3 linked regions of the Macaca fascicularis genome follow. The protein of the gene in region 3 interacts with the protein of the main gene of each other region in a pairwise test. Links are inferred from orthologs where the notes say so. Each region holds a gene or a part of one and is shown on either strand. Other genes may lie near its edges.

Evidence for each region. The genes of interacting proteins can lie anywhere in the genome.
Region 1: the proteins of SNCAIP (region 3) and NUB1 interact in a two-hybrid assay, tested with the Homo sapiens proteins (2 studies listed by BioGRID). The link is inferred for Macaca fascicularis from reciprocal best matches to the Homo sapiens genes SNCAIP and NUB1.
Region 2: the proteins of SNCAIP (region 3) and PPP1CA interact in a two-hybrid assay, tested with the Homo sapiens proteins (2 studies listed by BioGRID and IntAct). The link is inferred for Macaca fascicularis from reciprocal best matches to the Homo sapiens genes SNCAIP and PPP1CA.

Annotation. Positions count from the first base shown.
Region 1 is NC_088377.1:192,622,784-192,627,045, reverse strand, and holds the start of NUB1 (NEDD8 ultimate buster 1), read right to left. Parts: upstream 2,801-4,262; 5' UTR 2,543-2,800; intron 1,894-2,542; 5' UTR 1,842-1,893; intron 1-1,841. UniProt on the Homo sapiens protein: Specific down-regulator of the NEDD8 conjugation system. Recruits NEDD8, UBD, and their conjugates to the proteasome for degradation. Isoform 1 promotes the degradation of NEDD8 more efficiently than isoform 2.
Region 2 is NC_088388.1:6,974,742-6,978,699, forward strand, and holds the start of PPP1CA (serine/threonine-protein phosphatase PP1-alpha catalytic subunit), read left to right. Parts: upstream 1-1,158; 5' UTR 1,159-1,234; coding exon 1,235-1,289; intron 1,290-1,815; coding exon 1,816-1,947; intron 1,948-2,096; coding exon 2,097-2,327; intron 2,328-3,355; coding exon 3,356-3,460; intron 3,461-3,803; coding exon 3,804-3,958. UniProt on the Homo sapiens protein: Protein phosphatase that associates with over 200 regulatory proteins to form highly specific holoenzymes which dephosphorylate hundreds of biological targets.
Region 3 is NC_088380.1:128,907,391-128,911,501, forward strand, and holds the start of SNCAIP (synphilin-1), read left to right. Parts: upstream 1-1,311; 5' UTR 1,312-1,396; coding exon of another isoform or gene 1,397-2,344; exon of another isoform or gene 2,345-2,679; intron 2,680-4,111. Other genes in the region: uncharacterized protein, read right to left, coding at 1,397-2,344. UniProt on the Homo sapiens protein: Isoform 2 inhibits the ubiquitin ligase activity of SIAH1 and inhibits proteasomal degradation of target proteins. Isoform 2 inhibits autoubiquitination and proteasomal degradation of SIAH1, and thereby increases cellular levels of SIAH.

The DNA of each region.
Region 1 (4,262 bases), on a different chromosome or scaffold from region 3:
GTTCAAGCCATTCTCCTGCATCAGCCTCCCTAGTCACTGGGATTACAGGTGTGCACTACCACGCCTACCCAGCTAATTTTCATATTTTTAGTAGAGATGGGATTTCGCCATGTTGGCCAGGCTGGTCTCAAATTCCTGACCTCAAGTGATCCACCACCTTGGTCTCTCAAAATGCTGGGATTACAGGTGTGAGCTTGTAAATTCTCTCATACTTTGGCTAGTTTCACATAAAACAAAAGGCCAATCATCCTGGTAGTTAAATATAAAGAAAAGCTTGCTTGAACTGTAAACTATCAATAATAAATATTTTCAGGTGGGCGTGGTAGCTCAGACCTGTAATCCCAGCACTTTGGGAGGCTGAGTTCAGGAGTTGAGATCAGGAGCTCGAGATCAGCCTGGCCAACATGGTGAAATCCCATCTCTACTAAAACAAACAAACAAACAAACAAAAAATGAACAATTAGCCGGGCGTGGTGGCAGGCACCTGTAAACCCAGCTACTCAGGAGGCTGAGGCAGGAGAATCGCTTGAATCCAGGAGGCAGAGGTTGTAGTGAGCCGAGATGGCACCACTGCACTCCAGCCTGGGCAACAGAGTGAGACTCCGTCTCAAAATAATAATAAATATATAAATATTTTCTATGTCAGAATTTTTTAAATTAAAAAGATTACAATACTAGAAAAATGTTGCATATTTTCTGATTAACAGCCTAACAGCACATCTACTATTCAAATCTAACACTGATTGGATCATTTTACAGCTGAGAAAACCAGGGCCCTGAGTTTGTGCCATGACTCAGGCAAAGACACAAAATCAGGCAGCATCAAATTGAGCGTAACTTCCACCCACAATACTGGACTCTGAACTTCTGTCGTGGAGTCCCTTGCTGCTTGCCTGTTTCAGGTATGTAACTTTTCTCTCCCAGAGAAGTACATGCCACGATGGAGCTGTCTACTTATCCCACACTAGCACAGCACTTCAAAGATGCATGTGAGGCAGCTGAGATGTGAGGCAGCTGGCAGGGGTAGCACAGCGCTTTAAGGTTTACCAAATCACACAAGCAATAAGTAAAGAAAATGTTATTAGTCCCTGAATGATGAAGACAATTCTAGAGAGTGGAAAAAATATGAGTTAATATTATTGAGATAAATTTCTTTTTTTCTATTGAGGGCCAGTATTCCACATCCCCCCAAACCCAATTCACGCAACTTTGAAATCAAGTTTGGTAGCTTGTGTATTTCATAAACAAATATTTGTTTAAAGAAAGTTCAAATCTATTTGATGTCAGTGCAGGGGACAAGAATTATGTTAATCAGGACAGAGAGGAGAAAAGAGAGGAAGGAATAACACAGCCAAGGAAGTTGATGTGTGCAACCTGGGTGGCCCATGGGAGAATCCTCCATTTTCAAGCACTGACAAACAGCTTATCACAGCAAAGCATATTAGTACTTAAAGCGTTAGCTTTTCAAACACCAATAACTTAAAAGACTACTTTACATACTACTCATGAATCTTCAGAAATTCTGAATAAAATATCACAGCAACCCTACTGTTTCCCCACTGGGGGACAGTAATTTCACAGGTTGGTTACTGGAGCCAAGCAATTTGAAAGGCTGATGCGGTACTCAAAGACGCCATCCACGGCCAGGTGCAGTGGCTCACGCCTGTAATCCCAGCACTTGGGAGGCCGAGGCCAGCGGATCACCTGAGGTCAGGAGTTCAAGACCAGCCTGCTCAACATGGTGAAACCCCGTCTCTACTAAAAAAATAAACAAATAAAAATTTTTAAAAAGATGCCATCCAAGCCACCACTTGACAGAAGGACAAAGGAGTATTACAAACCTAGTGCGTGTCAGACACTCCAGGGAGCAAACAACAGGTCCAGGGTCTACACCTAATAGGATTTAATGTTAAAAAAAATTAAACCACTATCTTGAAACTTAGGAAACTTCAGTTACAGACAACAGAGTAAGTGGTGACATATTTTAAGTTTAATAAGTCAGCTTTTAATTTTAACTGAAATGAGAACTGAAAAAGTTTCATGCATGCCATACAATGTTTCACATTGTAACCAAGAAAAGACGAAACTCATTAAAACCACTCCCTGCTCCAAACAGAAAGTGAAACGTTATAACGATCCTTTAAAAATTTCACTTTCACTTTTGTAATGAATCAATCAATGCTACCTTTAGCCACAGTTTTTCAACTATACATTATATACAGTTGAAGCACAACTATATCTAGTCAAGACACATTCATTTTTTCTTACGAAAATATGTAGGAAAATGAAAGATTCTTGATTAAAAATAAAAGGGAAGGAGGTGAGAGTAATAGAATCAGGTCGTCAAGGTTCGAGAAAATCAAGTGTCTCGTCATTAAATAGCAAAGAAAATCTGGCTTTGATTGCAAATAAATCCCAAATGGTATACTCGGAGTAAGTGTTACGATTCAAGTATAGCATTTGGCTAATTTTTTATAGATATATTTATTCCTTTCTCTCCCCAAATCAATACACTCAACATTTTCTTTTAAATACCCCACACCTGTGCCTAACTCAGCGCAAACCAAAGGGCCCCGAAGGGCCAGCGCGTCCCGAAGCCCGACCCGCCGCTCCCGGCCCCGGCCCAGCTTCACGCATGGCCGCTGACCCCAGCCCCGCGGCCGCTCCACCCCCGTCAGGAGAGGTGCCCAGTCGGACCGGGAACCGGGGCGCCGAGCAGCGCTGCTGAGACTGGGGTCGGGGACACTCGGCCGCCGGGTCCTCACCTGCGCCACGCCGCGCCCGCTGCGACCAACAGAGTGCCCGGATGCGCCGGCGGCCGCCGTTTGTTTTCATTCCGGGTGAGGCCAGCCCCGCCCCCGCCACCGCTGCTGCCGCCGCCGCCGCCGCCGCCGCCGCCGTAGCCGCCGCTTGGAAGGAGGGTTGTGGGCGGGGCCAAGGCGAAGCCAGTCGTGGGCGGGGATACGGTCGTGTGGGCGTGGTTACCGCGGGGCGGAGCCGCGACGGGGGAGCTAAATGGAGGCGGGGCTGGGCGAGAATGTGGCCGTGTGGGGCGAGGACCTGGGAGTTGGTGTCCGACGCCGCCCCAGGCTCAGGCTTCCAGGACCTCCCGCCCGGGCCCAGTTTGCCAGCCATCAAGAGGAAATGGATCCTGGCTTTGTTTCTCCAAAATCCTTGAAAGAGGCTGGGGGAAGGGTCGGGACCGTCCCAACCCACATCTCATCCCTCAGCCTAGGCTGGACCCCCTCCCTAAACCAGCGGCTTTTCACCCCGCCCTCCACAATCCCACGAGGGGCTTCCCTGGGGTGAAATTAGGCTGCTTCCCGGGAATTTCCTCCCCCATGCTGTCCACGGCCACTAGGGACTACAAAACCTAGGGAGCTCTGCCTGCTTTCAAGGCCCCATTCCCAAGGCTGTGCTCAACAGTGACGCTTCTATTTTATTATCAGTTATTGCTGTTAATCTCTTACTGTGCCTAACAAATTAAACTTTATCGCAGGTATGTATGCATGTATAGGAAAAATGCAGTGTGTGTGTGTATATATATATTTGTGTGTGTGTATATGTATATGTGTGTATATATATAGTGTGTGTGTGTATATATCTATACATGGGTGCAGTACTATCCGAGGTTTCAGGCATCTACTGTGGGTCTTGGGACATACCACCTGTGTGTGGGTAAGAGGGGACTGCTGTAACCTTGCAGTGACCAATCCGCTTTTCGTTCCCTGTTTCTGCTTTCTTTAGGCCTTTTCTACCTATAAAACCCACCTCCTCTGCCCAGCTCATTGGAGTACCGTTTCTAAATTTTTAGAGAAGATGCCATCCTGATTCGTGAATCAATAAAAGCCAATAGATCTTTAATCTAAATCTGTGGAAATTTTGACTTCTGACAAAGAGGTATTAAATAACTGTATAACCGCATCAGACCAATCTGATTCACCTTTTATATACCCAAGTTGTGAGTTGTTTTTCAGTTGCATGGACTCCCAGAAGGAAGGTTTCACACGTAAGCTGAGGATGCCCAGATGAGCCGAGCATGCAACCGGGGCGGAACCTGAGTGCTCAAATCAAAGCAGGGACTGAATTAAGAGATGGGCACTGCATGGTGAGATCCAGAATGCAATCAGATCAAGCCCTGGCATCACCCCATGGCAGGGTCCAGTCAGATGAGCATCCCAGCATCACCTCATCGCAAAATCTAATCAGATCATGTGTCATTACCGTATGCTTATAAAACCCAGCTCAAGGAGACAGAGTTG
Region 2 (3,958 bases), on a different chromosome or scaffold from region 3:
CCGCCTCCCAGGTTCAAGTGATTCTCCTGCCTCAGCCTCCCCAATAGCTGAGATTACAGGCGGCTGCCATCATGCCCAGCTAACTTTTTGTATTTTTAGAGAGATGGGGTTTCACCATGTTGGCCAGGCTGGTCTTGAACTCCTGACCTCAAACGATCCTCCCACCTCAGCCTCCCAAAGCGCTGGAATTACAGGCGTGAGCCACTGCACCCAGCCATGTCTGCTCATATAGTAATTCTTTTTACGTGCACACCCTGCAATATTACTGTGCTACTCAAAAGCTAATTATGGGGCCAGGCTTGTTGGCTCACGCCTGTAACCCCCCCAGGACTTTGGGAGGTCGAGGCCAGTGGATCACTTGAGGTTAGGAGTTCAAGACCAGCCGGGCCAATATGGCGAAACCCCACCTCTGCTAAACACACAAAAACCAGGCGCAGTGGCGCGCGCCTGCAATCCCAGCTACTCCAGAGGCTGAGGCAGGAGAACCCCTTGAACCTGGGAAGCGAATGTTGCAGTGAGCCAAAGTCGCGCCACTGCACTCCAGCTTAGGCGACAAAGCAAAACTCTGTCTCAAAAAAAATAAATAAATAAAAGCTAATTATGGGACTTGTAAGAAAATATTAATTTATCATGCCCCAAGGACCAAAGTGCGCTGGAAGTTCAGCCGTAGCTGTCTTTGAGTGTGGTCAGCCGCCTGGGGGCCACGGAGACCCACGAAAAAGGGGGTCGTACGTGAATGCGAGGTCCAGGTCTTGCACCAGTCTGTTCATATCTCTTGAGCCTCAGTTTCCTTTCCTGCACTTCGAGCAGTTAACCCTCAGTGCCTAGCAGCCGGTTATTAATATGTTCACAACACCCTCCACCCAGGGCAGGGGTGGGAACGGCTGTTCTGCTTTTGAAAGAGAAAAACAACTTCCACAGTTCTTCCGGCCCCACATCCTCTGAACCGGGCTGGGCGCCTCCTCTGGGGCGTAACCAGTTGGACGCGCCCCCGACAGACCCCGCCCCCAGCCCGCCGCCAAGGCCCCGCCCCCCGGGCCGCGGCGCTTCACGTCCAGCGGGGGCGCTAGAGCGCGGGGGACCGGGCGGGGCGGGCCCGGGAGGCCCGGAGGCGGGGCCGCGGGCCGGGGGCGGACTGGGGCGGGCGGAAGGAGAGCCAGGCCGGAAGGAGGCTGCCGGAGGGCGGGAGGCAGGAGCGGGCCCGGAGCTGCTGGGCTGGAGCGGCGGCGCCGCCATGTCCGATAGCGAGAAGCTCAACCTTGACTCGATCATCGGGCGCCTGCTAGAAGGTTGGTCGCGGCGGGGGAGGCCTGCGTCCGCCGCTCCCGGGCCCCCTGCCGGGCCCGGAAGTGGCGCGCGGGCGGGCCCCCGGGGCCAGCTTAGACTGGGCGGGGACGGGCCGCGAGGTTCGGTGGCCGCAGCCGCCCCCCCGCGGACGCGCCTGAGAGGTCCTGGGCCCGCTCCGACGCGCGGAGCAGCCCCCTCTCCCGGGCCGGGGGCGCACGGGTTGCCTGGGTTCTTGAGGCGAGGGAGAAACCCGGGAAGCCCGGTCCAGGAAGGGGTCCTGCGCTGTGAGGTGTTTGGGTGGCAGCCCCCTGCGCACGACAGTCGCCTCCCGAGGCGCTGAGGGTAGTTGGGGGCTTCCCTTGGGAGGCTTGAGGCCGAGGTCCCGGGAGGCTCAGCAGCAACAGCTGCCTGCGGGCAAGGAGCAGCCGAGGAGGCCTAGGCGCCCCCGGAGGTATCCATGGGGCCACCCGTGTCGCCCACCCTCCTCCTGTCAGGGTCCCGGGTCTTGACACCCCATTGCGCCCCCAGTGCAGGGCTCGCGGCCTGGCAAGAATGTACAGCTGACAGAGAACGAGATCCGCGGCCTGTGCCTGAAATCCCGGGAGATTTTCCTGAGCCAGCCCATTCTTCTGGAGCTGGAGGCACCCCTCAAGATCTGCGGTGAGCCCCCCGACCCAGGTCCCCTTGCTTTCCTGAAAGTGGCACTGGCCCCCACAGAGTTCCTGGAGTCCTCCTCCCTTGAGCCCAGTCCTGGTCCTGGGTTCAGGTCTAGACCCTGCATCTAGCTTACCCGATTCCCTGGGTCACAGGTGATATACACGGCCAGTACTATGACCTTCTGCGACTATTTGAGTATGGCGGTTTCCCTCCGGAGAGCAACTACCTCTTTCTGGGGGACTATGTGGACAGGGGCAAGCAGTCCTTGGAGACCATCTGCCTGCTGCTGGCCTATAAGATCAAGTACCCCGAGAACTTCTTCCTGCTCCGTGGGAACCACGAGTGCGCCAGCATCAACCGCATCTACGGTTTCTACGATGAGTGTGAGTGGTCTGAGCGTCTGGGGCTGCCCGGGTCCTGAACCACACTCCTTGTCATTCAGTGGGACCTTCACATTGGCCTGATATCTGACAGACACTTGCTAAGACTGTGCACTCCACGAAGGCAGGGCCCAGGTCCGTTCTTGTGCCTGCCCTGCCCCTCCTGGCATGGGGTCTGGGGAATGGTTGCTGACTGAAGGACTGTCCGTATTCTAGTGCTTTCCCCCAGGGCCCTGCCTGGTGACGTTCCCTCTACATTTGCTACTAAGCATTTAGGATGTTTGCAGATGAGCTCTGCTGTCCAGAAGCTGAGATAAACCAGACCTGTACTTGGCCCGGCTCGTGGGCCGGGGCGTGCAAGGAGTGCCAACCCTGAGGCTGGTCCAGATTGGAACTCAGTTTCCAGTGGACTCGGGTGCTTTAGAATTACTTCTGGTGGGAGGCTGAGGCGGGAAGATCACTTGGACTCAGAAGCTCCAAGTTACAGTGAGCTATGATCTTGCCAATGCACTCCAGCCTGGGTGACTGAACAAGACCCTGTTTCTTTACTTTTTTGAGACGGAGTTTCGCTCTTGTTGCCCAGGCTGGAGTGCAGTGGTGTGATCTCAGTTCACCACAACCTCCATCTCCCGGGTTCAAGCGATTCTCCTGCCTCAGCCTCCCGAGTAGCTGGGATTACAGGCATGCGACACCACGCCTGGCTAATTTTTTTGTATTTTAGTAGAGACAGGGTTTCTCCATGTTGGTCAGGCTGGTCTTGAACTTCTGACCTCAGGTGATCTGCCTGCTTCAGCCTCCCAAAGTGCTGGGATTACAGGTGTGAGCCACCATGCCCTGCCCAGATCCTGTTTGTTTAAATTACAAATTAAAATAAAAAGTAACTAGAATTACTCCTGGAAGGCTGACAGGCGGCAGGGGTGGGGGTGGTTTGCATTGGTGCCTGACTCTCTCCCATCTGCGGCTGAATAGCCCAGAGACCCCGGCTAAGGGTGGAGCAGGCAGACCCCTCACAGCTACCTCCCTCTGGGCAGGCAAGAGACGCTACAACATCAAACTGTGGAAAACGTTCACTGACTGCTTCAACTGCCTGCCCATTGCGGCCATAGTGGACGAAAAGATCTTTTGCTGCCACGGAGGTGAGCTCTCCTTAGTTGTCATCTGGGAAGTCACTCCTTTCAGGAAGTGTCTCCCATACCCCCCTGTGCTGGGCTGCACTCACTTCCTTGATGTGCATTCTACATGGGGCGGGCTTGTCTCCTTTCTCCCAGGAGCTCTGTGCTCCGGAGGCCAGGGGCGCCTTTGTGCCTGTTTGGGAACTTGAAAAAGCTGAGGGGAAGGGGATGGCTTCTGCCTGCCTGGGCACCCAGGAGACCAGTGGAGGGACCAGGAGGGTGGTGGAAAAGTGAGGCTCACTGGCCAAGGCTTCCTGGAGGAAGGATGTCCTTGTTTGAGGAAGTGACCTTCCTTCTGGCCCTCCAGGCCTCTCCCCGGACCTGCAGTCCATGGAGCAGATTCGGCGGATCATGCGGCCCACAGACGTGCCTGACCAGGGCCTGCTGTGTGACCTGCTCTGGTCTGACCCTGACAAGGACGTGCAGGGCTGGGGCGAGAACGACCGTGGCGTCTCTTTTACT
Region 3 (4,111 bases):
AAATAAAGTATGTTCTCTGTAGATCATGTCAAGGGTGACACCAATCCCATCCATATCTACTGGATGAAAGCAAGATGTGCTTTTCTCAAAATTTACACTAGGCAAAAAAAAAAAAAAAAAGGCAGTTTTATTTTAACCAGATGTGAACAAATCAAACCCAATATTTTCAAGTATTTTTAGTGCCACATGATGTCATCCAATTTTATATTTTCTACTGGGGGATAATGTGTATTTTTAAAATTGTGAAGCCACTTTCCATGTATGTACTTAAGTCTTACGATAAATTACAATAAACAAATTACAACAGCACAGGACATGATCTTGGCTGTTTATGTCAACAGCCAAGAAAGACATTTAGGTTTCAGTAGGAAATGGAATTAGACACATGTGAAATGTCTTCCGCTGGCATTCAAGGTAGTCCTCATTTCAGTGACGATGGTCCTGGTCCAAACAGGTCCAGGGCAAGCATTACTCTGCCTATGCCCTCCTAGTACAGCGCAGCCTGTGGACTCCACAAAGACTGAAGGCAGTCTTAGGCTAGTTATTCAGGAAACCCCAGCTTTAAACAACCAGAGCCTTCCTTTTTTGTTGTAACAAGATCACACATCCCCATTGCTACTACCCAGATAGTGCCGGGTGTCCCAGGATCTTGGCACTGCTCTTGTCCTCTGGAACTGGCAAGGGAATGAAGATGCCTCTAAACTGACCAAGACTTACTTCCTCACGCTTTTCTCTGGGGCAGCATCAGGCAAGCAGTCATACCCTGGAACAAGAGTGTGGTCCTCAATGGCTTTGCTGAGTGAACTTCTCCGAGTCATCTCGCCTGGGAAAGAGATTTCTCAAAGATCATTTAAAGCTTTCCAGAGGGCAACAGCAAGACAGTCGTGAGCCAAGGTTACCATAAATGCTTCCACAACCCCTGATTTCATTTCGGAAATAAGGAAAGAAGTAGTCAGCACTGCAGGCGTTGCTGACTCCTCATCCAGCAGCCTCCCACCCCCAATCCCTCAACAATTAAGATACAATAAAAGTAAAGTTAATATTACTGTAGGGCCATTGGTACATTGAAACGTCGTTGAATTAAAAAGTCTTTATTTCAGCCCAAGATCTTCTCCATCCACCCACACTTGAGCACAGAACATTCCAGGCAGGCAAAGCCACCCGTGCCCTCCTCTCCTTGGCCACGTCCTCAGGGGTGGGCGAGCTTCGGGGAGAGGGGTGGGGGTGACGACTCCGTGCCAACGCAAAATACTCTGCCAAAAGGCTTCTCAGACACGAGTTTCCCAGGGCCATGCCCACCTTCCGTTCCCCGCCTTCCTGAGTCTCTTCTCCCGGTTTATGCTGGAACCCTGGAATGGTCTGGGGACCAATGAGATGGCAGCGGTTGACGCTTGGATCACGGTGAGGGGGCGATTTCCAGGGGGAGAGGCCGCGAAGCAAGGAAGGGGGGGCAGGAGGAGAAAAGTGGGAAGCGGGGACAAAAAGTAGGCGGGGAGGAGAGGAGAGCCCCAGTTGGGGAAAAGCAACGGCAGTCGAGGTAAAAAGAGCGAAAGGTAAAGAAAGAGCAGGTTCGTGAACAGGAGCCGGCGGGCAGGCCGGGGGATCCCGGGCGAGGAAGCGGCGAGGGAGGGGCGTGGGCCGGGCCGGGGGCCCAGCGGGGAGGGTCACTGTCAGTCAGGCTGAGCTGGGCTCGCTGGCCGGGGGGCGGCCGCAGGGGCGCAGCGCAGCCTGAGGGCGCGGCAGCCCCAGCAGCCTCGGCAGTGGCAGTGGTGGCCGCGCCCCCGTCCCCGGCCGGGCGCCCGCGCTGCGTTCCGCGTACCCCAGCGCCGGTTCCGGCCGGCGGCCGCCCAGGCTGCCCCCGCCCGCGCGCGCCCGTTGGGGGGCCCAGGGAGCTGCGCCCGCGGCCGGGCCGCATTGTGACGTAGCGGGGCCGCGGCAGCGCCTCCGCCGCTCGCCTGCTCCCGCCGAGGCTGTTCTGCTCCCGCCGCCGCAGTCCGTCCGTCGGTCTGTCAGTCCCTTCGCGCTCCTGAGCCGCCGGCGCGCGTGGCGCCCCGGGTGAGTCCAGGTCCCAAACGGACCCCGCGGGGAGGCGGGGGGCGAGGAGCTGGCGGCTCAGCCTTTCCAAGTTTGCACCAGGCGACCCTGGCGGGTGTCGCCCCGTGCTCCCCAAGCCCGGGGCCCCCTTTGTGCCGCGAGTCTCGGCTGCTTGGGACAGCAGAGGCGTCTCTGCAGAAAGGGTTTGGGGGGAGGTCTCTATAGTAACAGTGGTGGCGGCAGCGGCTGTTTTACTGGGGAAAGGGGGAAACAACCCCCGCCTCGGTTTCCAAAGGATTGTTCTTTTCATTTGCCTGCCTCATGTGGTTCTTATTCTTGCTGCCACCCGGGATCGTATCGCAGGCAGGGATGGGCAGTGCCGCGGCTCGGAAGAGCTGAGGTAAGGAGGGGCGAAGTAATAGTAATAGCGACGGTACTAACAACGGTAGCAATAGCTGTAGAAGAGGGACGTCTGGTGTTGCTGCCGCCCCTCGCTCATCAGCACGGGCTCCCCGACTGCCCTGTCCAGCCCGGGCTCCGTCAGCCTCCCTCTAATGCTGTCCTGCGTCCCAGGCTGGTCCGCGTCAATTTCAGCGGGGACTGTTTCTCTCTTGGCCTTCTCTCTTGGCGATGACTTTCATCTGCAGGTGGTAAGTAGGGTGAACCCAATTTTGGCTATTGTCAAAGGCCACATTTTGTTTATTTCATTTTTACGAAAAGAAAAGAGGGAAAATTATGAGCCATTACTGGCAGCCATACAGTTTCCACAGGAAATACTAGCATTCTTTGAGGAACACGCTACTGCTTGCAGCGAAGAAAGTCTTAGGAAACAAAAAGGCAACAGCATTGTTGCTCATTTTCAATGGACCTCTAGGAGGGGGGAAACGTGTTGTTTTTTCCTGTGGTAACGTTGCTTTCCTTGGGAAAGTTAATTAAGGAAGCATTACTGTCGGTGCCCCTTTTTCACTTGCTGGAGGCAGGGTCCGATTCCTCTTGGCTGTTACTGACAAGTGCCCATCAAAGAGCCCAGAGGAAGAGAGAACTGCTGCAGGACAGTCTCGCCACACACCACGTGCCGTGGAGCCTGGCCAGGGTGCAGTTTGCAAAATGAAATAAGGGCTGTCTGGGGAGGTTTATGAGGATTACATGTGTGCAAAGTATGTCAGTTCTCCAAGGTGTCACTCTAAACACGTAATTTTCAAGCACTACTTTCGTTGCTGAATCTGCAGGAAGGGAAAAACCTAGTTTTCTTTTATGGAGCAGACATCTCAATTGGGAATGGGTTGAAATCTGTATTTCATTTGTACATATTGAAAATTTAAAAGGCAAAGAACAAGGTGTAGGAAAGCAGTATGCTAATGTGTACACATCTGGGAGAGAAAGTCTGTTGGCTGTTTCTAATGCATCTCAATGTTAAATTACATTCAGCATGGTTAGAGTACAAGGAGACACCTTTAAGGAGTCCTCAAGACTATTTGAAAGGTGCTGTATTTTGGTACTGATCGCGGAAGTCTCTCTAGAAAGGGAGTATTAACTGAGGATTACCCATAACTAAATATGTATGCATTAACAGGTCTGGAATCAGAAAGTAGAAGATAGTGCTTCTCTTAAGAATCTTTTGGACATCTCAGTTAGAATAAAATACAGAATGGGATTTTGAAAAGAAGGGGTATAATTTTGAGTATAAATTTCATTTTCTCCATAGCAAGCGTTTCATGACGAAAGGTTACAGATAGTAGATTTGAAATGATGCTGCATTCATGAATTTGACTGTTACCATTTGTTGATATCCAAAAGGAAGTGACTAAAGCAAATGCATTTCTCTGTCTACTTTGTCACAACTTTGCTAATTCCAGACAGTTGTTCTGGTGCAGGTGTACAGTGGAAATGCAAGCCAAGAAACTGTGTGTGCTATTGTTTTGGAAGAAATTGTAGCAGTACTTTACTGCTCTTAAGGGAAACCCACACAAACATCTAATACAAACAAATGATCCTTGATATTATCAGAAAAAGCCTGGAGCTGTTTTTCTTGCCAGATGTAAGGCATGTCTTGTCAAAAGAGGAAATCTCCCAAGGA